4 linked regions of the Caenorhabditis elegans genome follow. The protein of the gene in region 4 purifies or fractionates together with the protein of the main gene of each other region. This does not show direct contact. Each region holds a gene or a part of one and is shown on either strand. Other genes may lie near its edges.

Region 1 (6,037 bases), on a different chromosome or scaffold from region 4:
AATACCATTGATAATTGAGATGGTCATTCGTCTTTCCGCAATCATCTAGAAATGATAATCCCGCAGATACTGATTCACTTTCTCTCTTTTCACTGTATGACTTTTATCATGTTTGATTTTAACGATTTCGATGGGAATGAACTTTCTTACAAATTTTCGAATTGTTAGCACTTTGAAAACTGTTTACGAAAAACTGAAAATTGAATGAAGAAAATAATTAAAACTGTGCTTCCAGAAAAACTTCGAGATTTTATAATACTTTAATCACTTTTAAACTTGTTAGAAAACATTGGCTCTGTTCGCGGAACTTGAAGGACTTACCGAAAGAATTTTGAACTGATGTATCTACAACCAATATAGGCAAAACCAATAAATAACAAAATACTATTACTGTTTTAATTTCCTTATTGCACCCCATGCAATATTTTCATCCCGATAGCCTCATGGAATTCAAGATTTGTACTTTCACCGCAACCAACAATTTTGATTTGCCGCGAGACAGTTTCTCAACAATCAATCTATATTTTTTTCATAATTTCCGTTCTTCCTTCCCACACTTGCTTCTTCTTTCTTTTCTGTCAAAACCATCGTTTTCTTTCTCTACAACCTACCAATTTCGTACTACTTTTAAACCGTAATTGACTATTTTTGGTAGGAAAACAATATGGTTGAACAATGGCAATAACTAAAACTTCAAGTTTTTATCAATTGTAACTTTGGAAGCCGAACAAAACAGTTTCTACAAGTTTTTTATCTTAATAGTAATGTTTTAATATATTAGTATTTTGATTTTTGAAAGCAAATGAAAGCATACAATAATAATAAAAATTTCTCAAAATTGTTTGTTCTGAATAAAGATTTTTTGTATGCTTTAACAGAAATCTCAATGACACCACTCCAATCAGTTCTCTAAAGATCATTACAATCTTTCCGGAAAAACCAAATAAAATGTTTCAGAGGTGTAAATAACTCCATGGACAGCAGAAATAACGAACGTTTATCAAAAAGAGGTTGTCACTTGTTCACTAAAACTTTTAATTAAATCTTGATATTTTCAGTTTATGCAGAAGGCGAGCCAGCATCCAAGCGACATTGCTCACAACTTTCCGAGAAATCATCGAGATATTCCAAACCATTTAACGGTCAGCTAGAGGAGAAGAACAAAGTACAACCAGCGAAACGAAATGCTCCACAAGACAACTTGTCTGCTCAAATATACGTGAGAAAGCTCGCAGTGTTTTGATATTTTGGACTGTGTGACTTTTCAATAATTTTTTTTTTCAACAATGGAACGAAAATGTTCAACTTCATAATAAAATTTGCATTATTTTATAAAATCTAATTATCAACCTATTGTCTCTTCATCATTCTGAGTCTTCTTTGAAGCAACTTCTTGCGCCATTTCCTCTCGAAATCTTGGAAATCATGCATTCGGTTAGCGTAGGCATCGGCGGCAGCAGTATCAGATCCTCTTAAATTTCAAAAACTTAACAGTAAGTACACACATTTTGAATTTTTTCACCATACCTTTCTGGGTCAACATAGTTTTGAGAAGCTGAATTTGGATGATGATGTGCTCTGTGACTTGGCATGTGGGATGGGGCAGATCCGTCTCCGTATTCTGGAGCATTTACTGAGCGGCCGGCGTCGGCGACAGCGTTATTTCTGAAAATTTACATTACAAACTTTCTAGAGGTGTTATCATTCAACTCACTGCTCATCTCCATATTGTTGCTGATGGGAAGGTCTAAGACGATGGCTTTTGCGATGTTGATGTGGTGCTGGAGCATCTACCTCAGAAGCAGCGGCAGAATCAGAAGCTCCAGAATGTGGAAGGTGAGCTGGAGCAGATCCGTCAGCGTATTCTGGGTGAGCAAGTGGACGAGATGGAGCAGCTGGTCTTTGCATGTTAGAATATCCGGCAGTTGGGGTGAATGGTGTTGGGAACATTTCAGTGAGAATCGGTTGAACTCCGCAGTCAGATGGACAGTATGAGGCTGGCATTCCAGGATCTCCTGGTGGACCTGCTGGACCTTCCATTCCATATCCACCCATCTTTCCTGTCTTTCCAATGCCTCCGATATCTCCTGGCTGACCTGGTTGTCCTGGTTGATTTGATCCTTTTCCTGATGGCCCTGGTGGTCCTTTCATTCCCTGTGGTCCTGGTGGTCCGAGTGGACCCTTAATTCCGACTCCAGCAACAACGGTGTCTCCTGGTGGACCATATGGTCCAAGTGGTCCACGTTCTCCCTTTGGTCCAGGTGGTCCGGGCAGGCCTGGTCCTCCATCAACACCTTCCATTCCAATAGTTCCCTGCATTCCAGCCATTCCTGGATTTCCAGTCATACCACGTTCTCCTTGAGCACCACGTGGTCCCGGTGGTCCAGCCGGACAAATGACGCAAGGAAGTTCTGGCTCCGATTCTGGCTGAATGTCAAATCCATCATCTCCTGAACGTCCTTGTCTTCCGGCATCTCCTGGCTGACCGTCTGGTCCTGGTGCTCCTGGTGGTCCAGGTGGTCCTTGTGGGCATGATAGTAAAAAGCATCCTTTACAGAATGCTCCACCCATCCAGTTGCTTCTCGCTTTTCTCGAGAAATATTGAATTCCCGGAACTGCGTCACCCTGTTTAATCTCCATCAATTCATTCCAAACGAGATCGGATTTAGCCTGCAAATAACAAGTTGATTGAGCATATTCACACGAACAAAAAAAAGTGCGTTACCTTTATTCCGTCAGAAAACGAAGAAATCTCGAGGAGTACGTTATCCGATTTATGGAAGAGCATTGGCACTGAGAAAACAGCAACCACCAACGTAAACGTCGATAGGACGATCGACGCAACGGCGACGTCGTAGAAATCCCGCATGATGGGAAAATAAGAAAAGGAAATGTGGAGAAAAAAGTTCTAGTGAAGCTGCATTCCATCCGGATACTTATAAGCAGCGGATATAGGTCAGTGGGTAAAACTCGATAAGGCGCGATTAGGCTTTTCTTTTTTCGGGGTCATTTCATCATGGAATCATTTCTCCTCTTGAACACTTTCGGTTTTTCCTTATCGCGCGACCGCGAAAAATGAGACACCGACTGCATAACTTTCTAATTTGTCTCATCGTTTGATGATGAAAGCGAATGAGAATGCGATCATATGGGGTACATTTTGAATCATGAGAACCTTGTTAGAAAATACTTCGTGAGCAAATAACATACAAAAAATTTAGAGAAACATATTTTTCATTTGGAGAAGATTAAAAACAAAAATATTTGAAAAAAGGGCCTTTAAATTAGGAGCCTACAAGAATTTTAGCAGCAGAGGAACGCATTCAGCTTGAACAAAGGATTTGAAATTTTTTTCGCTGATTTTGTTAAACTAGGTTAGAGACTCATAAAATCTCCTGTTATGTGAATTTTTGCAGACTTTTTTTTTATTAAGAATCAATACCATGTACCATGTATCAATACATGTACCAACTAATCAACTTTTCAGATGATAATTCATTTTCTGTATGTTTATTATTTTTCTGTATGTTCATTATCGTATGTTTATTATGTTTATTATCACGATTTCAATCGTAATAAATTCAATTCAATTCAATTCAATAGATGCATTCTGTTAGTATCATTATATGTAGTCTTTTGTAGTCTTCTAGTTTTTAGAGTAAGAGTAACTGATCAAGATGTTCTTGCTATATTATGTTAATGTTGTTTTGCTCTACTTTTGAATGTGGATTTTTTTTTGTTGACCTAGGTACATTTAAAATTGATAGATAAAAAATATAACTAAAAAGACAGGTTTTATAACCGATGGGAAATTGTATTTGTGAGATTCGGTATATTCATTCTGGCGGTTTTATTCTAATTAGTTGCTTTAAAGTTTTTAAATCAAAATATTATAAGGTATTCCATGAGAAAAATAGTCGTCATTTAATGAATAGAATCACAAAAAGTTAGGGCGACGTTGAACATCCGTCAGCATTCTCAGTTCAATTCTTTGCTTTTTTGCTCTTGACGTCATTGGAGTTGTTGTCGTCAGATTGGGAGTATATGAGAGACTGGAAAATAAGACGAATTTCATAATCCGCTGTGAAAAGATTAGTGAAGAAAAAATGTGAAAATTTTCTCAGACGATACTAATATACTAATATTCTATAACATTCTACGTCACAAGTGTTTGCTATTACCTTTCCGAGACCTTCAAAACTGAGGCATAGATCATTGACACCAGTGACATGATCGTCCCCAATATCTGAATCCATGCTTGGCATCTTGATTATGTTGTCCTCTTGGAACGTGCGTAAAAGTCGTTTATCGTTAGTTTTCAGCTCAACGCATGAACGAGTTTTTCCAAGATCTCCAAGTTTCATATGTTTCTTCACGTTTGGACGCTCACCGATACTATCGAAAGTAGCTGAAATAGAATTTCCAAGTCTCGGTTGGCTGCTAACATTGTGTGCGGATCACTTACGATGCTCAGGAATTGAGCTCACTGAGCACTGGCTTTTCGGAGAGCTATCGCTGCTGTCCTTCTTACGGCTCGCCATGCTGTTGAGTTTCTTGCGAATGTCGAACTCGCTCGAAGACTTTGGCATCACTGAAAATATCACAAATATCACTAGGAATAGTTGAAATGAAGCTCCTGGTTAGCTAAAAAGTTAATCACTTAAAAACATGGAAAACGAATATAGCGCGGTTCAGACATCTTGATAGTTTTCCTTGCTAATAATCACCAAGTAACATGTGAGGGTGGAAAAAAAAAGAAGATTTCCGTTTTGATTTTGAATTGCTTCGTGGTGTTTTAAGAACCGGAAATAAAACAGGAAATTGAATTGAACAAAAAAATTGAGTCAAAACATCTGACACATTTGTGAGTTTGATACTATCAAATTTAGAGGTTTAACGGTACGGAGCCTTAGAGTACCGAAATCTGAGACTTTAGACTTTTAGACCCAAAATCGCCCCTTAATACCTAATTTCGTAAGGAAACATTTCGAAAATCATTTTTTGGTGTAAATTTTGTCGGTTCAAAGTTTTGGAAAAGGCAGGTTTTCAACTAATCGCTCAATTTTTTTCTAAAACTGTGAACTGCCAAAACTTTTTTAAAAAAATTTCCAGAACGTCTCATTGCCAAACTCGGTAGTTTTGAGCTAACGTGGAGTTTAAAATAGGCTAAGATTTTGGTATTTCACCTTTAATTCTGAAGAAAAAAGCTAAATAATGAAAAATAAAAGAGAAAACCTATGTGATATTCTGTTAGAAGAAACAAACAAGCAGTTGTGAAGGCAGCGAGCTGTCTCTTCCCCTATATTTTCCTATCTTCTCATTGAAACCGTCTAATTAGCGTGGGAGAATGTACATGGTGATATTTCACGAAAAGTAGGAGACGGAAATTGGAAATAACAAAAAACATAGAAAAAACTATACCTCTGTCGATTTCAGTCTTATCGAGAAGAGTAACTCGCGCTTTTCTGTTGAAACCACGGTGGGGAGCAATTGGGCTACTGCCCTCCATTTGTATGTCACCTGAAAATGATAAATGATCGAATAGGAGTGAAGATATTATGTCATATGTCAGCCTGAATCAGGTGACAACGTCGCATTACACGCGTATTCAAAACACTAATGAGTCAACCAAGAGCAGCGCCCTTTCGTAAAGTCTACATCGCATATTCAAAAGTCTATTCAATAGTTTATAATAAACTAAAAAATGTCGCCCGTATTTGGAAATCGTCGTGTAAATAAGATATAAGAAGCCATTTTTGTCAATTTTTTCTGTTTTCTTGGTTTAGGTTGTTCTTGAAAAACAATTGCACTAATAATACTCAAAATGATGATGATGCTCAACGAAAATGTTGAGATGTATATTTTCAATCTTGAATTCTCATCCTAAATATCAAATTCGTAAGAACAAAACTAGAAATAGGTAATCATATAGTAAACTACATTTTGAAGAGAAAAGATGCTGAGGGCTACGTAATAGTCAGGTTTGCTATGATATTTATACGCTATTCGCTTGTTCGTCACAGCATTCATTTCGAAC
Region 2 (7,543 bases), on a different chromosome or scaffold from region 4:
TATTATAGTTTTTCAGCCAGAGTTAATTGAATAGAGTGCTCGAGAGATTTTGATTGAAAAACCGTAGATTTCTAAATTTCAAAACTTCAAAACTTTGGTGCCACGAAAGCGGAAAAGCAAGGCATTTGCCATTTCGAGCTCCATCCGAGCAGAACTTTGTACTTTTTGCGCAAATCATGCTGAATCTCTATGGAAACAGAGAGAAACAGGTTATTATAGGCATGTAATGTGTAATCAGAGACCCTAGTTTTTGGAATTCGCAAAAGATCAGCATTAGTCTGAGAGCAAAATGTTGTTGAAACGTATTTTAAAATATCTAATCAAATTTGTTATGATGTTTTGAAACGGAAATAGAGTAGAATGATGTCACTTTGGGCTTCTGAGTTTTGTCTGATGAATTTCGGTTTTACGAAAATAAATTCATGAAAGTAGTGACGTTTAAGATACATTTTAACTTCAAATCTGCTCACAAAAAAAGATTTTTTGAAATTTTTACCAAATGTTTTCGTCCATAGATTTTAAAATACCTAAATCATTTGAAAACACGCAAGATACCTGATTATTAAAACTAAAATTTGACGGTGGTTTCATTGTTTCCAGCTGCTGCAACTTTGACAAGCCGGTCAAATTTCAAATTTTAACTAATTTTAGGCCATTTTTTCGAGCCGTCATAACTTTTTTTTGAGAAGTTTTCAAGAAGTTTCATTACAAAATTCGGTGTTTTCAGACAATTTTCAGTCTAATGAAAGCAATAAAAAATTGGACTACACCACCTTTAATAGAAATCATTTTTCAAGAGGAACATAAAAATTCACAAAGTTTCAAAACTCAAACATTTTACTGTCGCGATTTATAATCATAAAAAGCTTCTGAAAAAAGTGTGTCGTTTCAAAATCGATCTACCGGTTTCAATTGATAAAATAACGTGAAATTCCATCAACTTTAATAAATACATTTCAAACATTTAAAAATACAATTTTATCTATTTTAAAATGAAAATGGAAATTTTTCAATCACAAAATAAATCTCAAATCACAATGTTTCATAAAACAACACGTGGCATGGCGAGTATATAATTGTTTAAAAACGTACAATTATTCACGGAAATAATTGGGAAAGTACAATGAAGTTATTGAATTAAAACTATGGTGTAGAGATTGCTGAAAACTGAGATCTAGGATGTTGTTGGAAGCTAATATGTACTTCAAATCAGAAAAATCCTGCTTAAACATGCTTATAGAAATGAATACGGAGTTTGGCTGAATTGGCTGTTAAGTAAGATGCTCACATCTGGAAAAGGGGCTGGATTTGCTGAAAACACAAGTTATCAATGCAATTGGCATATTTCAGTCAAACCTGTCGCTGGTGTAGGTAACTGAAAGAGCAATTGTTGCGCCAGCTCCAAATTTGGAGCAACCACAGGAAGCGGTGCAATATTCTGAGCCGTTAATTGTGCTAAAAGTAGATTTAGTAAAGCTGGGTCGAATGTTGTTAGATCTGGGAGAGTATTGGTTGATAAGTTGTGCAAATTCATTGTTGGAATTGGAATGTGAAATTGAGGCAATTGAGTCACGGCTGGTGCTGCTGAAACTATAGAAAATGGGTTAGGCAAACAAATTTTTAATGATTGGAAAATTCTAGTACACAGTCTAAGCACAAAATTGACATTTTAAACTATAACTCTTGCTTGACTGAGTATTTTGAAATGTTGGTCCATTTTGTAGATTATTAGTCAGGCTGAAAAAATTTTTCAAAAATTTACTCCGAATCGGTTAATTTGGAATGACTTAAATCGTCTCAATTATGCAAATGATGCAAAATAAGTGAATTTTACAAAATATAGAGCATGCTAGGGCTTCCATCTCGGCGCCGATTTGTCGTCTTCGCCGGCCGGTGAGGCGCTTCAAACAACCTTACGCCGCCACTAACGTCGCAATGAATCGGCTTGTATAGTGCGGCGCGGAACCCCGAATCTGTCGGAGGCTTCCGAAGAACTGCTTTTCACACCACGTTGCGCAAAACAGCGTTGCGCAAAACTACGGTGTGCAGTCGTTAATTGATCACTACGCAGACACCGGAGTTCACGCCAAAATGTACATTGCGGCGACAGGAGTAGACTGGCCGGCGTGAGGCGCCGACGCCGCGCCGACGCCGCGCCGACGCCGCGCCGTTTTCACATACAGTAAACTAGCGTTTTTTTAGTTAAACTAGAACACGGCCTGTCGGGAAATGATTAAAACCCTATTTTATGATATTTTATGATATAATATGTACTTAAAAAAAGTAAAAATTAAAATAAGATTATTACAATTTTTAGTCATTTTAGCACTATAAAAATGCGTTCAATTATCTCTCCACAGACCAAAGTCCAGTTTTAAACAGAAAATTATTTATAAATGGGTATCATCTACATTTTTGTTATACCAATACAAGCTACATATGTAAATACACATAATTAATAAATTTACCATTAGCAGTATTAATCCCGCTTTGCAAGCAGAAATCGTTCGGAATACCATTGACAAAATTTGGTATATTATCCAATAATGCTGTAGTTTCATTTTGTATCCTGAAAGCGACTTGATCTTCTTCACATTTTTTATACAATGCATTAAAAATGGTCCTCTTGTCCTCAATGTCTTTTGTGGCTTGTTTCTGATAGCTTCTTGTTGATTTTAGTATGCAATCTTTTATTGAAGCAGACTGCTCTGACGTTGTTGGCTCTTCTCTGAATAGTTGAGGCATGGGTTCTGGTGAAAACTGATTAATATTTTCAAGTCTCAGTTCGTTAGTGAATGGACCAGCGAGATACGGTGGTTTGTCATCTGCCGTTTTTTCTGTTACTTGTGGTTTGACAGACGAGCGTAATGGTGGAAGAACCGGCATGCTTGTTCCGTATAACAACTGCATTAGAGCCCCCTGGCAGTCGGTGTTTCGCAAGTTTGATGGTAATGCTTTCAGAATGTAGTCAACCGGTTCAGATTCAAATTTTTGCCGCTTTTGAGAATGATCAATCTCCTCTGTGATGTTTCTTTTTTGTATGTTTGCCGGATTTTTCAGTGGGAGAGATGTAGAGAGAACCGAATAGTTCTGGCTTTCAAATGAACTGGGAAGGAACGGTGCTCGGAATTCGTGCTCTTTTTGCTTTGCATTTTTTGCTAGTTTCAAAATATCGTTGTCTATAACAATTGTGCCATAATCCGTCCGAGCAACCACCTTAGCCGTTTCTGAAATAATGTTAATCTCAGAATGGATTAGCTGAAGGTATTTGTTTTTGATGTTTTTAGACCATTATTTGTAGTTTCAGATTATCCTACCGTAATCCAAAGAGTTTCAACAACATAATATAGGAAACTGCTAGATTAAAAAGATAACTAAAAACCTAAACTATAACGGGAAACTGTAATAAGTTTGGTGATAAATCGTGAAAGAATTATATTGTTGAAGGCCTTCTTTTGTTGAATTTAGCGCTCGGAACTTAAAATGTATCTAGCAGAAAGTTTTTTTGAATGAAGGACACACGTGGTGTCAGAGTGTCAAATTGTGGTTTGATCTACAAAAAATGCGGGAATTTTTCCCCGAGGAAAGTGTGACGTCAGCAAACTCTGCGAAATTAGTGGAAAAGTCTGCATTTTTTGAAGATCAAACCAAAATGGAACACTTTGACACCACGTGAGGACGGAAATTGAACTGTTTTCGTAATAAAATTATGTTTCTAAAGAAATTTCTCAACGACAAACTTTGAACATTGCTAGATATATTAAAATATGATTTACTTTTTTTAAAAATTTATTCAACTATTCAGATTAAAAGTCATATTTATTTTCATCTTTAAATTTAGAAATTACGCTTTTTTAGGTCTGAGAATCAGACAAAAGTTCCCACGGTTTTATATAAAAATTAACCTTTCAAATATAGGGATTACTTATTGAAAAAAAAAATTTCAATAAGGACTGAGGCGGAGTAAGTTCAGGAATTTACAAAATCCTAAAAAAAACTTTCCTAATACAACTTTATCAGATGAAATTGTTTAACAATTTGTGACAGAACTAACCTTTATTTCCCGACATCATTGACATTTTCTGCATATCCGAAATCATGTTGGACACTCTGAGTTTGGAAGACTCCGAATTGGATCGTTTTCTGTGATCGGTCGATGAATCTTCAAAGGGAAAAAGACTGCAGGACATTTATTGAGCTCAACCCTGAAAGCGCAATTTGTTTTGATTTCGAATCACGTGAGACAATGTCCGTGAGAGTAAACATGGTCGAAATGTTTTGTAGGTACGTGAGAAACAACATGTGAACTAGTCAGTCAAAACAACGTCTGAGCCCAATGATAATGTAGAATTGTTGAAGCGGATCAAGAAGGAGATTACTAGAGACTAAGATCAAGAAACAAACATTTTGAATGAGAGGAAATAAGACGGATTTGGTCTGCAAAAGGGGGAGGACAACAAGACAACTCTGCTTTCTAAAATCATAGGCTTCAACATCAAAATGAGGGGGCTCGTACGCATATAGCATTAACGTGACTTCTCTAATGAGATATCGCACAAAACCTAAACAATTATCATTATCGCCATCAGATAGTCAACTGATTTTCAACTGACATCAAAAGTCACATTGATAGACTGGTGGCTCACAACAGAATTGTGACTTTGAGTTTCCAATTTAGAAATCGCACGAATTTTGAATTATTATCACTATATTAGTCAGTTCACTTTGTCTCTGGAGAAAAGTAGATCACTGTGATATTTGAACCATCGAATATCACAAGAACGAACAGTTGAACTATGTAAAACAACTAGCAGAGATATGAGAAATTTGATCAAGAGATGGTACAATAATTTTTTGAAAATGTCATCAATTTAAAACTAGATGTGTTAAAATGACGTAGTGTTTATGTAGGTGGGAAAACACTAAAATATGGAGTTTAAAACGAAAGGATTTAAGGACGATCCGTTCTTCAAGTGCTATGCACTGCGGACCTGGGATTCAGATGCACTGCTTGCTGGTGATTCCACTGGACTATAATTTAAGCCGCGTCCTAGCCGGGGACTGTGGCCGATAATCCAGTCGTGGATTGCTCCACTTCCGAAAATAAGCTGGGTGGTGAAACTGGAAGAACTTAGGGAGTGAGGTCGGACTTGAACTCTTGACCTCCAGATTGCTAGCGGCCACCACTACCGACTGAGCTATCTGTTCCCCTGGGCCCAACTTGAAACTTTAATTTCAATTCACCCTAATACATTTTAATACTTTGTTTATTTTAGTCTCATTTTTTAAAAGAATTTAACATTACTTAGCATCTGAGTTCAAAAAAATTACGTGAAGTTTAGCGCGTCAACAAAATCTGGGTCTAGTTTTTAAACCCTACCGCAGTTGAATAATCAAGGTTTGAGAAACATTGCACATTTTTTATAGAACCCACAAAACCAAACATTTTTTGTAATTCTGCAATAAAGTTTTTTGGCTTTTATTTGGTGATCTATTCAATTATAGAACTGTTTTTTGTTATTCTGTTAACAACCAGAAAATGAGTTCGCTAGGACATTTCTGCTTCATGATTAAAACTTGAAATAAAGCTAGATTAATGAGAAGGAACCAAATATCCTGACACAAGAAAGTTTCAACCTTTGGCATTTAGCTATTGCAAAATTTATTTACTTCAATAATCTACTTCAATGATTTAAAAAAAAAAATTAAAAATTCCCCACATTTTAGAACTCCAAAAAGTACATAAATAACAATTTTCAAGGAATATAGGAACACTGAAATTTTATATTTTTTATTTGAAGGTGGGCTATCGAAATTTGAGACTTAGTTTTTTTTGGACCCGAAATGTTCCAAAGCTACCAAATTTTGTAATAAGACGTTCTGAAAAATTCTCAAAAAAAAAGTTATGGTCGCTCAAAGTTTTGGAAAAAACAGTATATTTTTAGCTAAAATCTCAAATTTTGGCAATTTTTCAGTGTCTCAGCGATTGTAACTAGCGGCCATAACTTTTTTTTGAGAAATTTTCAGAACGTCTCATTACGAAATGCGGTAGTTTTGAAACATTTCGGGTCCAAAAAGCAAATTCTCAAATTTCGGTACTCCACCTCTAATGTCGGAAATTAAAAACTTCAAAAAATTTGACAAACCGTTATATATATATTTTTTTCTCAAAGCAAGCATTTTTTAAAATAATTTTATTTGAATAGATCTTTCAATTGCCAACCAGAATCCTGTGCCATTTGTAGTTTTATGAAACGATTTGCATGTTGTTGAAGAATTCTTTCTCAAAACATATAATTTTTGTGAAGTAAATGTGACAAGACACTACATCTATAATTCTGTGATTTACAACCTTAATAATGTTTTGTTGTCGATTCTGCCCCTTACAGGTTTATCCCGACAATTTTACAGTACTCTAATATATATGGTTTTCCATTGAATAGCCCACTATTCTTAACCAATATCCGTACTGTTGTGTTGTACAATTATTATCTCTTTATTACATTTTGTTCCATTCAAATCCGTTCAGTATTCGCTAAGATATCAATCACCATATATATATATATTTGTATTCAAACCGCGCGCCACCAGCTTATGGTAGCGCCTTCGCGGCGAGACCCATTGCGTCTCTAACTACTTGGCGCCGTGCCAACTTCACCGCCACCCGCGAGTTAACAACTTGTTTGTTACAGAATTGGTGAAATACGATGCTGATGATATGTTGTTGATGCCGTTATTCTTATCAGAATACTTCTAATCCTTATTAATACCAACATCCACAACATATCACACCTTCTATATCCACACGCATTATTTTCCAGCGTGAATTACATCTCAAACCCCTATTTGAATTATATATTTCTGAATTGACCCACATTTACCTTCGTATTGATTGAGAGGGTCTTTACACCAACACCAACAAAATTTAATACCATCTTCTATTGTTCCTTATTGTATTTCCCTCCTTTTACTTGTTTTATCCTATTTAGAATCCTGCGTTACCCAAAAAATAGATTGGCATACCAAAAAACAGATTGGCATACCAAAAAATAGATTGGCATACCAAAAAAAAGATTGACATACCAAAAAATAAATTGGCATACCAAAAAACAGATTGACATACCAAAAAATAGATTGGCATACCAAAAAATAGATTGACATACCAAAAAATAGATTGGCATACCAAAAAACAGATTGGCATACCAAAAAATAGATTGGCATACCAAAAAATAGATTGACATACCAAAAAATAGATTGGCATACCAAAAAATAGATTGACATACCAAAAAATAGATTGGCATACCAAAAAATAGATTGACATACCAAAAAATAGATTGGCATACCAAAAAACAGATTGGCATACCAAAAAATAGATTGGCATACCAAAAAACAGATTGGCATACCAAAAAATAGATTGGCATACCAAAAAATAGATTGACATACCAAAAAATAGATTGGCATACCAAAAAATAGATTTTGGTGAACGGCCAGAGTCACTAAATTTGGTGAAGGGCCAGAGTCACTATTTTTGGTGAACGGCCAG
Region 3 (7,274 bases), 2.9 Mb from region 4:
TTTTCTCAAAATTTTAAAAACTGAGCAGAAAATGTTGGTTTTCGTAGCTTTTTGCTAGAAAACTAGTTTTTTTAGAATTTTTAAATTAAATTCAATTATTTTTCTGACAATTAATATACATTCATTTTCAAAAATTGCTTTTTACTGCAATTTTTCCAAAAAAAAAAAAAGGCAACATTTTTTTTTTAAATTAAATTATTTTTTCAAAAAAAGCAGCTGAAAACACCAATTTTGCGCATTTTTCTGATAATTTTTGCCAGAAAATCGCATTTTTTCCAATAAAATCCCAGAAATTCAAGCTTCCTCACATCGAACACCTCATTCTTTTTCTTTTGATTAGCATTTCTCGATTGTTTCCGCTGAAATTCGTCCTGTGGCATCAAATAAGATTCAGGACCACGTGAAACATTTGGCTGCTTTCTTGATGTTCGATCCAAATTAATTTGTTGACCTTTTTCGAGAAGTTGCTCCTCGAGCAACATATCTGACCACATGTTTTTCGACTTTTTTGCCGGTTCCTGGAAATTTTTTTAATATTTTTCAATAATTATTTACAATTTTCGGGTATTTTTCTTTGTTTCAAAAAATTATATTAATCGTATTTTCTATTTAAAAAATGAAATTAATTTTTTTCCGATTTTTTAATTAATAAATTGATAATTTCTGATTTAGCTTTAAAAAAAATCAAATTTTCGGTCTATTTTCTTAATTTTTGAGAGAAACTTAAGCTTTGAAAATTTGAAAATAATTTTTTCAAAGTAGAAATTTCTCTCAAAAAAATTAGAAAATAGACCGAAAATTAGATTTTTGATTATTTTTAACACTAAATCAAAATTATCAATTTATTAATTAAAACATTGAGAAAAAAATAATTAAAACCGGTTTTTTTTAATAGAATGTTTTTTTATTTTACTCTTCAGTTCCTGTTATTTGTATAACTCTTTTTTTCAGTTTTTTTTTGAGTGAAATTCAATAAAGCTAGTTTTTAAGCGCTTTTTTCGAATTTTTTCAAGTTTTTAATCGAAAAATCGCCAAAAAAATTGAGGAAAATTGCTAAAATTTTATCGGAAATACATTTTTTAAGAAAAATCTTTTTTTTTTTCAAAAAATTGAGTAAGAATGTAAAAAATGGATATTTTCTCAGAATTTTGAAGACAAAAGTAGCTTTTTGCCGATTTTTCGATTAAAAATTGAAAAAAAAAAGTTTTGATTTTTTCTGAAAAGAAACTGTTCTAAAAAATTTTTATTTTCTGAAAAATCCGAAAAAAGTGCTTAAAATCTTGTTTTATTGAATTTTTTACAAAAAAGTTTCAAAATTTCGTCAAAAATAGTTTTTTTTAAGAGAAAATCCGAATTGTGAAACTTTTTCTTGATTTTTTCGGTTTTTTTTTAATCAAAAATCGAAATTTGTTACGAAAATGGTTAGTTTTTGCCAATTTTTTCATTTTCAAGGTAGAAAATCCCCGATTTTCAGCCAAAAATCGTGCTCCTTACAGCTTTCAGATCCTCATCTTCATCTTTATTGATCGGAAGTCTCTCTTCATCGGAATCTCCTTCCGAATCGTGACGACGCTTACGGAATGCCATTCTGAAATTTTTTTTTTCTGAAAATCTGAAAAATATTTTGGAACTTATGTATAAAAAAGGTAAAAACCCTTTAAAAATGCAAAAAAAAATATAATAAAATATAATTATTTACAGTTTCACATTTATTCGAAACGAAAATAAGACGCCGTATAAAAATGTCGATTTACGCGGCTCGTGAACTCCCCGAAGTGAAGGGAACTTTTTTTTGGAAAAATCCGATTTTTTTTTTGAAAAAAACTCTTGCTAAAATCCGCAATTTTTATGGAAAATTTTGAGAATTTTCAGGAAATTCGGCGAATTTTTTTTTGAGACTTCTTAGTGAAAAATCCTCAATTTTTTGAATTTTCCCAAAAAAAAACCAGTGATTTTTGAGAATTTCAAAGAGAACACCGCGGTTTTATTGAATTTTTTCAGAATTTTCAAAAAAACGCAAATTTTCAAGTTTTTTGAAAGAAATATCTGAAATATCTCTATTTGAATAATTTATTTTTCAAAATTTTCGAAAAACCTGGAATTTTTTGAAATTTCCAGAAAACCGCAATTTTATTGATTTTTTTCTAGAAAAATATCGTAAAAAACGGATAATTGCAGATTTTCGCGGAAAAAATTTTCAATAATTTTATCAAAAAATTTTTTCCCATAAAAACTGCAATTTTTTTTTAATTCTCAAAATAATCCGCCGAAAATTGCCAATTCTGCAATTTTTCCATTCAAAAAATGCAGATTTTTCAAAATTTTTCGCCTTCTCCTCGTGAAGTACACAAGCCGCGTAAATCGACACATGCGGGAGCTAGGAATCCCGCGTAAAAGTAGAGATCTACAATATAATTTATCCTTTATTGTGCATATTTCCCCATCCACGTCGATGATCATCCTTATATTCATCCCAACGCATCGCCTTCGCTCTCGCCTCGTCATCATCAACCTCTTCTTCGGATTCTTGAGCTTCTGCCCCGGCTGGAGCCGACGATTGTGGAGCATTTTGTGGATTATGACCGAATTTCTGATGATACCATTCATCGACACTCATCGCTGGAATTCCTGGATATCCGAGCCCAAAGACCTGCTTCTGTTGAGCATCTCTGGTAATAATGAAGGGTTTAAGTGTTGGAACTGTCTTTGTTGCTGGTGGTGGAGCTGGATGACGATGTGGGTGAGATGCTCGTTCAGCCATCATTTTCAGCAGTGGAAGCTCGTCTGAAAATTGTTTTCCGTTTTTAAAAACGTCGCTTTCTGCTCTAAAAGGCTTAAAAGGCTTGGCCATGAAGAACTGAAAATTATTCAAAACTCGAAAAATTCAATTTTTCAGGGTCATTTTGAGGCTCTAAAAACTATTAAAAAACTTTTTTACTGACAGAAAATTAAAAAATTTGCAAAAAATAAAAATAATAATTAACTTATTATTTAAATTTTTTTTATTTTTTTGTTTAAAAAAATTTCGAATTTTCAATTATTCAAAAATTGGAAAAAAATTAGACAATTAACAGGAAAATTCATTTCTTTTATCAAATGTGGTTTATTTTGATTTGAAAAATCAGAAAATATATAGTTTTCTTCTACAAACAAAAAAATGACCAAAATACGACCAAATCGGAGATTTTAGCTAAATTTTGGACTTTTTTCTTGTTTGTAGAAAAAAAATGATATATTTTCTGAAGTTTTTCATCAAAATAAATTTTTTTTTCGATTTTTGAATAATTAATTTTTTTAATTCAAAAATCGAAAAAAAAATTTAGATTTATTTTGATGAAAAACTTTAGAAAATATATCTTTTTTTTCTACAAACAAGAAAAAAGTCCAAAATTTAGCGGAAATCTCCGATTTGGTCGTGATTTGATCATTTTTTTGTTTGTAGAAGAAAACTATATATTTTCTGATTTTTCAAATCAAAATAAACCAGATTTGATAAAAGAAATGAATTTTCCTGTTAATTGTCTAATTTTTTTCCAATTTTTGAATAATTGAAAATTCGAAATTTTTTTTACAACTTTCTAATTTTAAAGGAGTTTTGCAAAAATTTAAAAAATGAGTTAATTATTATTTTTCCTTTTTTTGCTTTTTTTTTAATTGTCTGTGGGTAAAAACGAATTTTATAGCTCTTAGAGCCTCAAAATGACCCTGAAAATTGAATTTTTCGATTTTTTAAAATAATAGTTTAAAAAAATTACAAAAAATCTTTAAAAAGCAGCGTCGCACAGAAAAATAGTTTTTTTCTCGAATAAAAGATCATAATTTGAACATATTTGCTGTTTTTCTGTGTTTTGGTTACCATTCGTCTGGAAACATCGTTAAATTAATGAAAAAATGTGCGAAATCCGGAAGTTTAGCTAAATTTAGCCATTTTTCTCCTTATTTTCCATGAAATTCGGCATTTCGAAGCCATTTTGAGCATTTTTAGAGCAACAAAACGATTTTTCAAGCAAAAATTCCAGTTTTCTTCGAGTTCTCAGAAAAAAAATATGATAACATTGCGTTTTTCTGCCAGAAAATCACATTAATTCCGATTTTTCGTGATTTTTAAAAATAATTTTTCCATGGAAACTAGGCGATATTCTACACACCATCAATCGCCTGCAACTCCTCGTAACATCTTTCACTCCAGAACAATAACTGAGTAATATAGAGCTCTCTGAGATTCTGCTCATCAATTGAAACGGCTTCCAGCTGCTTTTGGATCCTGAGCTCCGCCATTTTGAGCTCTTGCTTCTTCTTGTGACGCTCCAACTTCAATCTTCTGATCTCTTCAACTGCAAGCTTCGGCTTCTCCTTTAAATTTTGCTCTTCTGTATCCTCATCTTCCCATGGTAATCTGGTGGTGATCAGGCACAAATCTCGGAGGCGATCCAGAAAATTTCGCATATAAATTTTGGATTTTCTCAGTTCGTCGAGCTTCAGGCCGGGCTCAGTCATCAAATTTTGGTGGAGAATTCCCAAAAAACATGGGACAAGGAGATAGGGCAGCGAGTTTGTTGGAACGTCTTCAATCTGAAAAAAAATCATTTAATTTCAGAAATAATCTTTTTTTTTTTCGATAAAAAACCTGCTCATTCGACGAAAACAATCTCATCTGATTCACAAGCTTCGTGACCAACTGGAGATTATCAATTCCCGTTTTGATGCGAGGTTGGAGCTCCGGGGTGGAAAAAATCCCATCTTCAATATCGCCGATCACCTTTTTGCTCGGATCGTAAAGCGCTTGCAAGGAAATTTCTTCATCTGATAGCTCTGACATGCTCTGAAATTTAAATAATCAATTTTTAATTGAACAAACGAGGAAAAATTCAGGTTTCGCAGAGAAAACCCGTTTTCAGTGAGCGAAAATTTTTCAATAAACAAAACGAAAATAGAAAACACCCGATTTGACGACACTTGTGCAAACACCCTCACGCAATATTGCACAGATTTCTGAAAAAACAATTTTTTGTTTTTTTCTGGAACACATTTTACAACTTTTCAGACGGAATTTTCGGTTTTTTATCGAAATTTATGGAGAAAACGTTCAAAAAAACTCAAATTTGCTTGTTTTTAAAGGGTTTTTATGGGAAATCGTGTCATTTTTCCTTTAACAACGGAAAAACAATTCAAACACTGTCAAAATGACCAAAAATCATATTTAATAAAACGTTCAAAATGTTTCGGAAAACGCTTTATTTCGAGTCAAAAAGTGGAGAAACTCGTTTTTTTGAAAGTCTTCGATTATGGCCGCAGAGGCTCAAAAAGTGGCGCAAAATCACTTTTCCCGCGCGAAATTTGAAAAATTATCTCAAAAAAGAAGAAAATCGCCGAAAATTTAGTCTAAAAAATTGGCTTTATTGGAAAAAAATTAAAACATCAAAATCCAATTATTTAATAGACTTTATCGTTCTTGAGCAGCTTCTCCGGGAAGCATCTCTTGAGGCACTCAACAGTGAAGCAGCAGACATCATCCTTCGGGAATTCCTTGTACGAGCAGTTGTTCTTCATGGCACAGCACGCGGATTTGTAGGTGCTATCTGAAATTAATTATGAATCTTTTGAAACAAAACACAAAAAATCAATAAATAAAAAAACTTACAATCCTCAACAGTGCATGGGGATTGCTCCAAGCCGTAACGGCAGAACATATTCATATATTTATCGAAATTCTTGCATGACGAGGCGAAGGAAACGAGGAGAACGAGGAAAATCAAGGCGATCCGCATTCCGGCGGCAGACTGGCTCGGAGCTTTGGAGCTTTGGAGCTTGAGAGCTTTGAGCCGGCTTCCGATGGAACAGCTGACTAACTTTTTACTCACTTTTTCATCAATGTGTCAGTTGTCGGTTTTATTTTTGAAAGTTTTTATTCAACAAACCAAAACATCAAAAAAACATTCAAACGCTCAAGGACGAATTACGATTAACATTTAACAACAAGAAAAATATTTAAATATTTTTTTTAATAGGAAAATTTTAATTTTTATAGGAAAAATTCCCTATGACATTTCCTTCACAATATTATGCACCGCCTGGCTCCGCATCACGCTGGTGTGCGCCGAATCAACCTGGAAAACATTTATTAGATTTGAAAAAAAGAGCTCAAGGGGGCTCAGAGTCCCTCTTATATTTAAATGGAAGAGTTTTCAGCTTGGGAAGCTCGGCCGCGACGCAGCTGCATGCGGAGCGGCTCAGACGAACACATTGATTTTATCATTTTCTGGTAGAAAAAAAAACAGAATCAACGTTTTTGCCTGAGCCGCTCCGCGCGCTGCTGCGTCGCGGCCGAGCTTCCCAAAACTCTGCCATTTCAAGGGACATCCCGCGTTACTAGAGCTTGAAAACCCATAAATCACCCACCAAAAGCAGTGGTTTCAGAGCAGATCTCAGTGAATTAAACAAGTCGGGGAAGATGAGCTCCTGCTGAGCCAGGAGCTGCTTGACACGGTGACGTTCGGTGGCCTGGTTGAAGCATGCCGGGCAGTTTTCCGCGACAACTGGGAGTTCTGGAAAATTATTTATTTGGAGATAAATTCAAAAAAAAAATCGCTGAAAATACTTTTATCCTCGGCGAAATTTCGTAGAGCCTTCTCGCGAACCATCACCAGCGGTCGAATGACTCGAAGAGCTCCGTCTCTGGAAAAAAATTGAAATTCCTTTTGAAATCGACGTGAAAACGCGCTCCACGGACAATTGGTAACGCTCCGCCCCCAACAGTTGGGTCTCGTTAGGAAAATTTTCAATTTTCCATCGATTTTATTGATTTTTTCGTCGAACTTATGTTATTTTATAAATTTCGGCATAAAAATTTATTAAACTAATGAAAAACGTGACAAAAACATTTGAATTTAAAGTTTTGTCTACAAATACCTAACGAGACCCGCCTGTTGGGGGCGGAGCGTATTTTTCTGGAAAATATACGATTTTTCAGTGTTTTCCAGGAAAGATCAAGTTATTTTCCCAATTTTTTGTTTTTTTGAACACGGTAGTCATTACTGTAGTTTTCGCTGCGAGATATTCTGCACAACACATTTGACGCGTAAAATATCTCGCAGCGAAAACTACAGTAATCACTACTGTAAGTGTGGATTTACGAGCTGCCGCCAAGCCCCGTAAATCGACACCTACAGTAGTCATTACTGTAGTTTTCGCTGCGAGATATTTTGCGCGTCAAATGTGTTGTGCAATACGCATTCTCAGGATTTTGAGTTCAAAACATTTGGAAAATATTTCGA
Region 4 (8,865 bases):
GACAATTTTGTCCTGGCGATGCAAGAGTTATACACTGAGAGTTATAGGACACTGTCCCGAGTTGGCAATTCAGCCCGTTACTGATCACGCATTGCTGATTGACGTTCACATAACCACTGTAACATTGACAAATGTTGTTCTGGCACTGGGATCCTCCTAGACACTGCTGGGTGCTCTGACATGCAGATCCGATGTTCACCGAGTTGTAGCACTGCCCATTGACCATTGTTTGACCCGCCAAGCATCCATTGTTTCCATTTGAACTGCAGGTATCTGAAGTTGAAGTTGGAAAGTAGGAATAGGAAAATGAGATTCTTACTAGAATTGGTGTTGGGACAGCAGGCACCATTGTTACACGTGTATCCAGACGCACACTGTGTGTTTGTAGAGCAGGTCACAACTTGGCCAGATGCAGACACTTGGGGGCTTGAATTGGATCCACATTCTGGAAATATTTGGGATATGTAATTTGGAAGTTGAACTGGTGAAATTGCTCGGATAGAAGATTGATTTCAAATATCGAGGCTCCGTGCTTTAAGTGAATGGATCACTGTAGAGGAAATCTACCGTATTCCGTGTACACTAAAATTGCAGCCAAACTCACGTGTATTTGTCGAATAACAACATATGTAGTTATTGTAGGTACTAGCATATTGACATATTGTCCCAAAACGAGAAGATCCCGACGAAGAATAACAACTGCACGCGTCCTGTGGGGTACATGTCTGCAATTACAGAAAATTGCAACAGAGTTGAAATTTGGAAAAAAATACCAGTGGTTGATTGAAGTTGGAGTTGGAAAAGAGGGGAGTTAGACCAGGTGGGCATTGGGAAACCACTGAAAATCATATTTTGAGATGCTTTCTCTATAGTTTTGAACTTTTTAAAAATTAATCAGTACGAAGTTGTTTGAAAACTTTTGTACCTCGAACAGTCTTTGGTAGTTCGGGAAAATTTGCTTTCAATTTTATAGAAAGTAAGTATTTTTGAACATAAAGTGAATTAAAAAGGTTTAAAAATTTAATTTTATTTCGGCTTATTTTAGTTTTTATTAACTATTCAACAATTTTTCTAGTTATCAATTTTTAAATTGATTTTGTAGAAAAAAACTTAGATTTTTTGTTCTGGTATATTTTTCAATTTTTAGAGATCCGAGATTCTTTTACATTTTTTTCTTCTGAAAATCGAGATTTAGCAAATAACTCAATTTACCTGAAATCACAAAAATCTGCAAAAGTAGAAAAAACAAGCAAATCATGATGGGGGGAGGCACACGTTTGAGCAGTTTGTGCCAAATAAATGAAATAATATTTGACTCTTTGGGGCTCTCTGAGCAAGTCTCTTCCATTTGTTTATCCACCTGCCTTTGTGAGTTTTTTGGGACGGTTTTTTTTGTGAAATTTCACGATAGAGTGTTGAAATGGGTGAATTCATTTGAAAAATCACACGGGAAATATCAAAATACGAAAAAAAAAAAAATAAGAATAGTTCAAGAATACCAAAAAAATATTCACAATCAGAAATCAACATTAAAAGTTGCTGGAACATCGCCTGAAAGTAGTTTTTTTCAGTTAAAATCTAAAAAAAGAACAAAAGACAAGGAATGTGTGGGGCCTAGGCCTGACAACATTTTATTTCGGCACTGTGAGAATCATGTCAAAATGTAGAAAATAAGTATTATTTAAACTTATAGATAGGCATGAAGAAAGGTACCTGATGTACTATTGAAATACTATTGCTAATAGGCTCCGCCCACATCTTGGATTTTCCCTTATTTTCATTAAATATGCTTCCACCACTAAAACAAATTATGACAGTAATCAATCAATAATATACAAAAAAACAGTATATACAATTTAGCATATGTCACTTCGCTGCTGGATTTTCTGCAATCAAACATTCAATGCACGCTGACAATTGCTCGTACGTGATTTTTGTCACTTTTTGGTCTGAAATCTTTGAGATATTTTTAAATAACTTTTCAAATCCCCAACCTTTTTGATATCCATTAATATGAGATTGCACCAAAACCGGACGAAAATCCGAGAAACCCAAATTCATTTGAATTTCCTCTGGTGACTCGGCAGCCAACTTTCTCAAGTGAGTTTTCATCTGAACCGCATCATTTTCCCGCCCAAGCAAGTTTTTTCGAAACATTTCAACAAGTCTTCTTTGATGGTTCATTGATGTTGAAATTGTTTCCTTATCAGTTACTACTAGTATTCGATGAATTTGATTCAAAATCGTCAGTACTGGATCTTGAATCTGGCGGAGTACATTACTACTGACTGTCAGACCATCGGATTGCTTTGAGACTTTGAGCTCTGTGGAGGAAGAGCTTCGAGCCGGATGTTCAGTAGAGCATGTTTGAACACGACGACGACTTGGAATTGCAGATGGAGCTGATGGAAACATGACACTGTACTTGTCAGTGATGCGTGGAAGGCATACAATACTGGAAGGACGTGGCGTCTCCCCGGCTGACATTGAGTGATTCCGACCTGAGAAAATGTTTATATGAAAATATATGAGCAGAAAAAGCTCAAGTATTTCCATTTTTGCCGTTCCCAAATTTCAGATTTAGAACTAAAAAAAATCTGAGATTGTGTTTATCAAAAAATTCTGAAAATTTATTATTAACGTTTTTGTTTCATTTTGAAGTTTCAAGGTTTTAACTAACTCCCAAAAATTTCAGCTTTTTTGAAAAATACTCACGTGGCGCTGGATTAATTGGTGGCAGCTTTCCACTCCCTGATGTCTTTGACGACCTTCCAGGACGTTTATAGGAACTTGTGGAGGAATTCAGGGAGGATGGGGATTCATCGATTTTGATATTATAACTAGATTGTGAAGCAGTCATATCTGAAGTACTTGCTTGTTGACGTGCCACATCGTCAAGATATTCAAGAAGACGGACTCCGCACATTCCAGATACTTTCAAGATGTCTGGTCTGGCAGAAGGATCTGGTGCCAGGCAGGAAGTTATGAGAAATCGAAGATCGTCACTCCACATTTCATTTAACGGGTCGTACTTTGCTTCGACTATTTGCATGGCTAGAGTTAGCATATTTGTTGAATGAAATACCGGTTGGAGTTGACACATTTCATAGATACAGCAACCTGAACATTCATGGATTAGTAACTGGACCATAGTATCTCTTAGTTAACAGTAACCCTGAGATATTACAACGCTACCAATACACTAGTATGATTTCCCTGTTAACACAGCAATTTTTGGGCACATGAGCCCCACAGTAAGAACTCACCAAATGACCAAATGTCCGCTTTCTCTCCATATGGCAAATTCTGTACAATTTCCGGACAACTATAGATAATGGTACCCGCCGCCGATTTCAGATATTCTGGGCCTTTTTGCTTTGCCAGCCCAAAATCAGTTATCACCACTCGCTCGTCTGTCGTCATCATTATGTTATTTGGCTTTAAGTCTCGATGTACAATTTGCTTTTCTTTGTGCAAATAGCGAAGGGCTAACATCATCTGAAAGATTATAAAAGCTTATGAGATTTTTTATAAATATTTAAAAGCTATTTTCAATCTGAGTCTAAAAAAATGTAAAAAATCAAGTCGATGCACAATGTTTTGGGTGCTATAGAAATTAAATAATTATAAAAAAGTTACCTGTACAACCATAGCCCAAATCTTTTTTTCTTCAAAATTTCCTTTCTTCTCCTTCATTGTAATAATTAAGTCACGAAGTGAGCACCCTTGAATCAAATCCATCACAATATACAATCGATGATTCTCTACGAAAATTCGCCGATACCGAACAATATTCGGATGCCTCAACTGTTGTTTAATAATCTTCACTTCACTAATCATATCACCAAAACTTTTATCAGATTCCCTGTCGTTCAAATTCGTCATGAATATCTCCTTGAGTGCAAGTAGTTTAGCCGGGTTTTCCGAATGACTCTGTGCCTTCTTTCGAACTGTGTACACACATCCGAATGCTCCGGCTCCCAGCTGATCAAGAAGTTCGTATTCGCCAACTTCTCCAACTGCCTGTCTTCGTTCATTTACAGTTTCCCAGTCTTTCATTATTTCAATATTCTCTTCCTGTAAATTTATAAATTTCTGTGATTTTTTTATTGAGATTTCATATTTTCCAACAAAAATAACAAGATTTCGAAATTTTTTTCCAAGTTTCAGATTTTAATTACAAAAAACTTACAATAAGATTATCGTACATTTTGGCAATTTGATCGTAATCCGTAAGAACACTATTATAATTTCCAACATCCACAAATTTTTCGAAAATTTCTGTGGGTAACACCTTCTTCAGCAACTGACGGGATCTTTCAAAAGTGTACATTAACCGTAGAACCCGGAAGATCGAACATTGGAGTAAATCCCAAGAATCTATAGTTTCATCTGTAGTAACATTCTTCTTGATAGCCAATAATTTCCCCAAAATATAAACTCCGTTCGCGTTAGACATCAATTGTTGATTACTACTCGCTTGCGCTAATTGAGCCAGAAGAGCCGTGAGCCCTGTGAGCATGGCCACCCAGTCCCCCACAGCTTTTCCAGGTGGTTTTGGGTTGGAAATGGCGGCAAAGATCAAACTTATTCCGCCGAGTTGTGCTATTTCTAAGGACGTTTCATGTTGCTCGGCAAGTTGGGCTAAGGTCCATGCCACGTGCCATTGTAGACGGGAATTTTTGATGGAAAGGAGTCCGAGGAGAGTTGGGACACCGTCATAGATTCGGATTTGTTCTCGGGCCTGTTCTTCGCAGGATAGAATTCGAAGAAGGCTTATGCAGAGTCTGAAAATTCAAAAATCGAGTTGCAGCAGACGTTTTACGGGCGAAATTTATCTAGAGTGTTGGCTAGTTGTTCGGTATGCCCCAGGAGGTGCCGGTCACTTGTTACGCGCTACTAGAAATTATCGACTACTACATAGTTTTGCTCTTGAAATCCCGTAAGACGTCCGCCGCTAGGTTTTCATGTAAATCCCGTCATGTATCGGCTGCTAGTTGTTTCATACTCCTATAGTGCAGGTTGCTAGCTATGTCATGTTAGACCCCAGAAATGTCGGCTGCTATAAGTCGTGAAATGTCTGCTGCCACCTACTTTTGCGTTAAAATATCCCCATCTGGTATGAGCTGAAGGCACACGTCAATCGTATTTGATTCACACAAATTCTCCCGACAAGTTGTGGACCAATCGGAGAGTCTTCCGAGAATCTGAAAATGATTATTAATTTTATTGATTTTTCAGCCACCAACTAACCTCCAACGAATGCTGAAGCACTGTCATTTGCCGCGTGGCAAGCAGCACAAGGACAGCGTCTTCCAAATTACAGTCCACGAACTTGCGCGCATTCTCCCCGTTATCGATTAGTTTTTGTGTTACATCTGAAACAAAAAATATTTATTGAAATTCTCTGAAAATTGAACATACTCAAACAGTTAACCACAGTGACATTCCAGTCGTGTTCACTGCGAAGAAATCTGGACGCAATGAATTGGAACGTCTGAAATTTGCAATTTCGGTAAGATTTTGTCTGATATGTCAGGTTTCTCCAAAATACCTGAACGAATTCCGAGTGTAGATTAACCGAGTGAAACGTCGCAATTCGTGTCTTGTCCCTGAACAAAGTTCGCGCCAATCGAAAAATAAGAAAAACCCATTTTTTGGCCGGCCGGCTTTCGATGAATTCTCTGAAAATTAAAATCGAAAAATGTCGGATGTTAAGATGGTTATTGCGGCCGACACAATATGGGATCATCAGGTTAATAATCCAGTAGTGTGTGGGCTGCTTGAAAAATATTCTGGATTGTGGAGATGAGCCGATGCATCACGAGACGAGTTCTCTTACCTGCAACATATCCGGTTTCTAATTAGATTTGTGGATAGTTCGTGGATTGAAAGACTGTCTAAGTTGTTTTCCAACTGCTCTTCTCTGAAAAATCATCGATAAAATATTGGCGGTTAAAATTCAATCGACAAAATAAAAGCCCCGTAATATGTCGACTGCTTATTTTATGAAAAACGTTCTATAAAACGCCGAATAATGTTAGCTCCAAAGGCGCTCTGACCCATTATTTGTCGGCTGTAAGGTAACGTCTGACACCTTCTGGTGTCGTAAAATTAGCAAGCAGCCGATACTTTCCAGGTGCCCTCAGAAAACCAAAAACTCACAGAAACGTAGTTAGCAGCTCACATTCAATCCGTGCATAGCCAATATCACCAAGTTTGAATAATGATAGAGATTCTAAAAGTTTCTGGCCAACCTCCTCTGTCATCTCATTTCTGCAAAAATTCAGAAATTCCTTGAAATTTGCCAAAAAGAATCAATGCACAAAAGAAGCAAGAAACTCTTCAAAAGAAAAAGAGATTCAGAGAAGAAGCACGTTTCCATGTCGAAATTCTTTCAGTGAGAGGAAGTGGGAGAGCACAAGAGCACAGAGAACAGGAGAGCATGTCTCCATTGACAACTCGAAAAACTGCTGGGCTCCGTGAGCACATACACATATATATGCACATAATTCGATTCCTCTTGACGTACTTTCACGGTTGGGAAATTGAAGGTTTCTTGACGTGGAAAGTTTGGGAATTTCAGTTTTGGGTCACTTGTGACGAGAATAGAAGGTCGAAATGCTGAAAATAGAACCAAACTAGAGTTATTTAATGTTTGAACATTTGAGTAAAATGTTGAGTTTTTTCAGAATTTAAAAACTGTATTCCAAAAATCTTTATGACCGCCGAATTCAAGCAGAAAAAGTCATACATTTAAGAGCACAATTTGTGACTGAATGGAATAGACCATTTACCGTATTTCTTCTATTAATATGGCTGCAATACTATTTTTCGATGGTCTTCCCGCTTGCAATACTATTAGGGAGTGCAAGTCTAATAGGGAGGCCATATTAATAGAAGATATACGGCATATGCAAAATTAGTAGATTTTCCAAACTTTGAAAATTAATATCTGGCTTCAAATTAACTTTTTCAGAAATTCCCGTAGCCATTTTGTTGCAAATTTAATGCTCTTTCAGAATTAAAAAAACCGCGTTCCAAAAACGTTCATAACCGCCGAATTCAAGCAGAAAAAGTGAATTTTCAGTCATACCTTTTAGAGCACAATTTGAGATTGGCTTGTTAATTTTCAAAGTTTGGAAAATCTACTAGTTTTGCATATAAATTGTCTATTCCATTCAATCTCAAAATGTGCTCTAAAAGGTATGACTGAAAATGCACATTTTCTGCTTGAATTCGGCGGGTATGAAAGATTTTGGAATATCGTTTTTAAATTCTGAAAGAACACAAAATTTGCAACATAATGGCTATGGAAATTTTTGAAAAAGTTAGTTTGAAGCCAGATATTAATTTTCAAAGTTTTGAAAATCCACTAATTTTGTATTGGCAGAAAAAAAGAAAATTATAAAATTAATCTAATTTTCTGCCAACTAACGGAATAGAAAACCGTTTCATTTTCCTGCAAATAATAATATTCAGAGAAGAGGATATTGGCAACGTCCCGCTGAGTTATTGTACTTTCTTGCGCACATACACCCCTTTCCACTGGCTTCTCCATCTCGGTTTGTCTCTTTGGCAATGCCTGAACTTATTGAAGATTTTGAAAATATTTTTCAATTTCGTTTCTTATACCTAGTTTATCAGAAAATTGCCACGTGGTCCAACCTCCCATTTATTCCTAATTTTCAACCGAAACGGATCAGAATTTCAATGAAATAGTTTTCAAAGTGTACTTTCGAGATCATCGTCCTCGACATGAATTAGTCGGCGTCTTCCTTTTCTTCTTCTTCACATTTTTCCTCTTACTCATCCTCAAAACTTCTTCAAATCTGACCTTGTGTTTTTAGGCGCGCACCCAGTCGTCATCCAGCTACTTACTCTCTAGAGATCCTCATTTTGCTTTTCAATATAACCCGACCTACAGCCACCACTCAACCTATTTTAGCAAATTTTCGTTTGGTTTCGGAGAGTGAGAGTGCTAGTTTTAGTTGAACAATTTTCAGAATTGTATTATCATTCCACTTTAATGGACTTCAAAGGATGACAAAGTTGTCTAACTTACCGATTCTAGGCCACCTCGAAAACCGACAAAATTTTAATTCCTGGCCTTATTTTCTGATTCTCGGTCACCGCTTCACAACATGGATTTTCAAACGTCAGGATATTTTTCAAATATTTTACGAACTAAACTCTTCCAGTTGAATTTTTGAATGCCAGGTCACATTGTGAAGATTCGACGTTCTGAATTAGTTTTAGAAGACCACTTCGAACTCTTTATCAATTTGGCGACTGACTGCAAAAACTTTAATGGTCTAGGCCATGTCTCCAAATTCCATGGAATGATATTTTCAATGACCCAGTTTATTAAGTATAACTATCAGACTCTTTCGATGTACCATGTCCTTTTCTGAAAAGCTTTTCGTTTTGCTACATGGCCGCGGAAAAGGAAAACTCGTTCACCAATTCATGGTCACCTCCACTACTTCCCGAACACTTTGATTATTGATAAAGCCACAAAAAACCATTTTGTCACTTTTTGCGCCGTCCAAAACACTTTCCCATCAAATTACCTTTTCCTCCTCCACCTCCTCCGATGCTTCTCCCAGGCTTTTCCTCGAAGCATATTGCAACACACTGTTTCGCAATTAGTTCGGTCATTGATTGAGTCACTCATTCTTTCTCTCTCAGTCACTCATTATTCTAATTCACGCTACCGTCACCGCCACAGTCTGGGGCGTTGTCATGTTCACATGCGTCCTAGCGGCATCCCCTCCAAGTGCCTTCCTGCCAACTGGTCGATGTCTAATCCTCTCTAAAGTCTGTAATCTTGACGTGTGAGTCGATTAGCTTCTTCTCTACTGT

Evidence for each region.
Region 1: the proteins of nekl-4 (region 4) and dpy-8 fractionate together in Caenorhabditis elegans (co-fractionation; one large-scale study listed by BioGRID). This does not show direct contact.
Region 2: the proteins of nekl-4 (region 4) and Y7A5A.7 fractionate together in Caenorhabditis elegans (co-fractionation; one large-scale study listed by BioGRID). This does not show direct contact.
Region 3: the proteins of nekl-4 (region 4) and ppfr-4 fractionate together in Caenorhabditis elegans (co-fractionation; one large-scale study listed by BioGRID). This does not show direct contact.

The regions. Positions count from the first base shown.
Region 1 is NC_003284.9:5,147,564-5,153,600, forward strand, and holds dpy-8 (Nematode cuticle collagen N-terminal domain-containing protein), read right to left. Parts: upstream 2,914-6,037; 5' UTR 2,870-2,913; coding exon 2,726-2,869; intron 2,671-2,725; coding exon 1,715-2,670; intron 1,666-1,714; coding exon 1,528-1,665; intron 1,472-1,527; coding exon 1,351-1,471; 3' UTR 1,244-1,350; downstream 1-1,243. Other genes in the region: C31H2.14 (Ovule protein), read left to right, coding at 974-1,010, 1,059-1,243; C31H2.3 (uncharacterized protein), read right to left, coding at 3,984-4,052, 4,182-4,408, 4,466-4,591, 5,422-5,509.
Region 2 is NC_003284.9:15,799,983-15,807,525, forward strand, and holds Y7A5A.7 (PPP1R35_C domain-containing protein), read right to left. Parts: upstream 4,191-7,543; coding exon 4,055-4,190; intron 3,228-4,054; coding exon 2,469-3,227; intron 1,585-2,468; coding exon 1,328-1,584; downstream 1-1,327.
Region 3 is NC_003281.10:2,617,484-2,624,757, reverse strand, and holds ppfr-4 (Serine/threonine-protein phosphatase 4 regulatory subunit ppfr-4), read right to left. Parts: upstream 4,823-7,274; 5' UTR 4,820-4,822; coding exon 4,628-4,819; intron 4,573-4,627; coding exon 4,149-4,572; intron 2,785-4,148; coding exon 2,417-2,784; 3' UTR 2,049-2,416; downstream 1-2,048. Other genes in the region: Y71H2B.2 (Phosphorylated adapter RNA export protein), read right to left, coding at 309-518, 1,495-1,587; Y71H2B.4 (Lipoprotein), read right to left, coding at 5,434-5,579, 5,642-5,768; Y71H2B.5 (Aminotran_5 domain-containing protein), read right to left, coding at 6,039-6,107, 6,400-6,545, 6,599-6,675. UniProt on the Caenorhabditis elegans protein: Probable regulatory subunit of serine/threonine-protein phosphatase PP4 which may play a role in meiosis and embryonic mitosis.
Region 4 is NC_003281.10:5,511,255-5,520,119, forward strand, and holds nekl-4 (Serine/threonine-protein kinase D1044.8), read right to left. Parts: upstream 6,270-8,865; coding exon 6,166-6,269; intron 5,927-6,165; coding exon 5,843-5,926; intron 5,685-5,842; coding exon 5,425-5,684; intron 5,379-5,424; coding exon 5,254-5,378; intron 5,208-5,253; coding exon 5,095-5,207; exon of another isoform or gene 4,863-5,094; intron 4,788-4,862; coding exon 4,193-4,787; intron 4,078-4,192; coding exon 3,640-4,077; intron 3,499-3,639; coding exon 3,267-3,498; intron 3,121-3,266; coding exon 2,716-3,120; intron 2,502-2,715; coding exon 1,995-2,501; intron 1,950-1,994; coding exon 1,867-1,949; 3' UTR 1,658-1,866; downstream 1-1,657. Other genes in the region: pqn-25 (Prion-like-(Q/N-rich) domain-bearing protein 25), read right to left, coding at 1-273, 320-445, 605-725, 774-838, 1,213-1,348.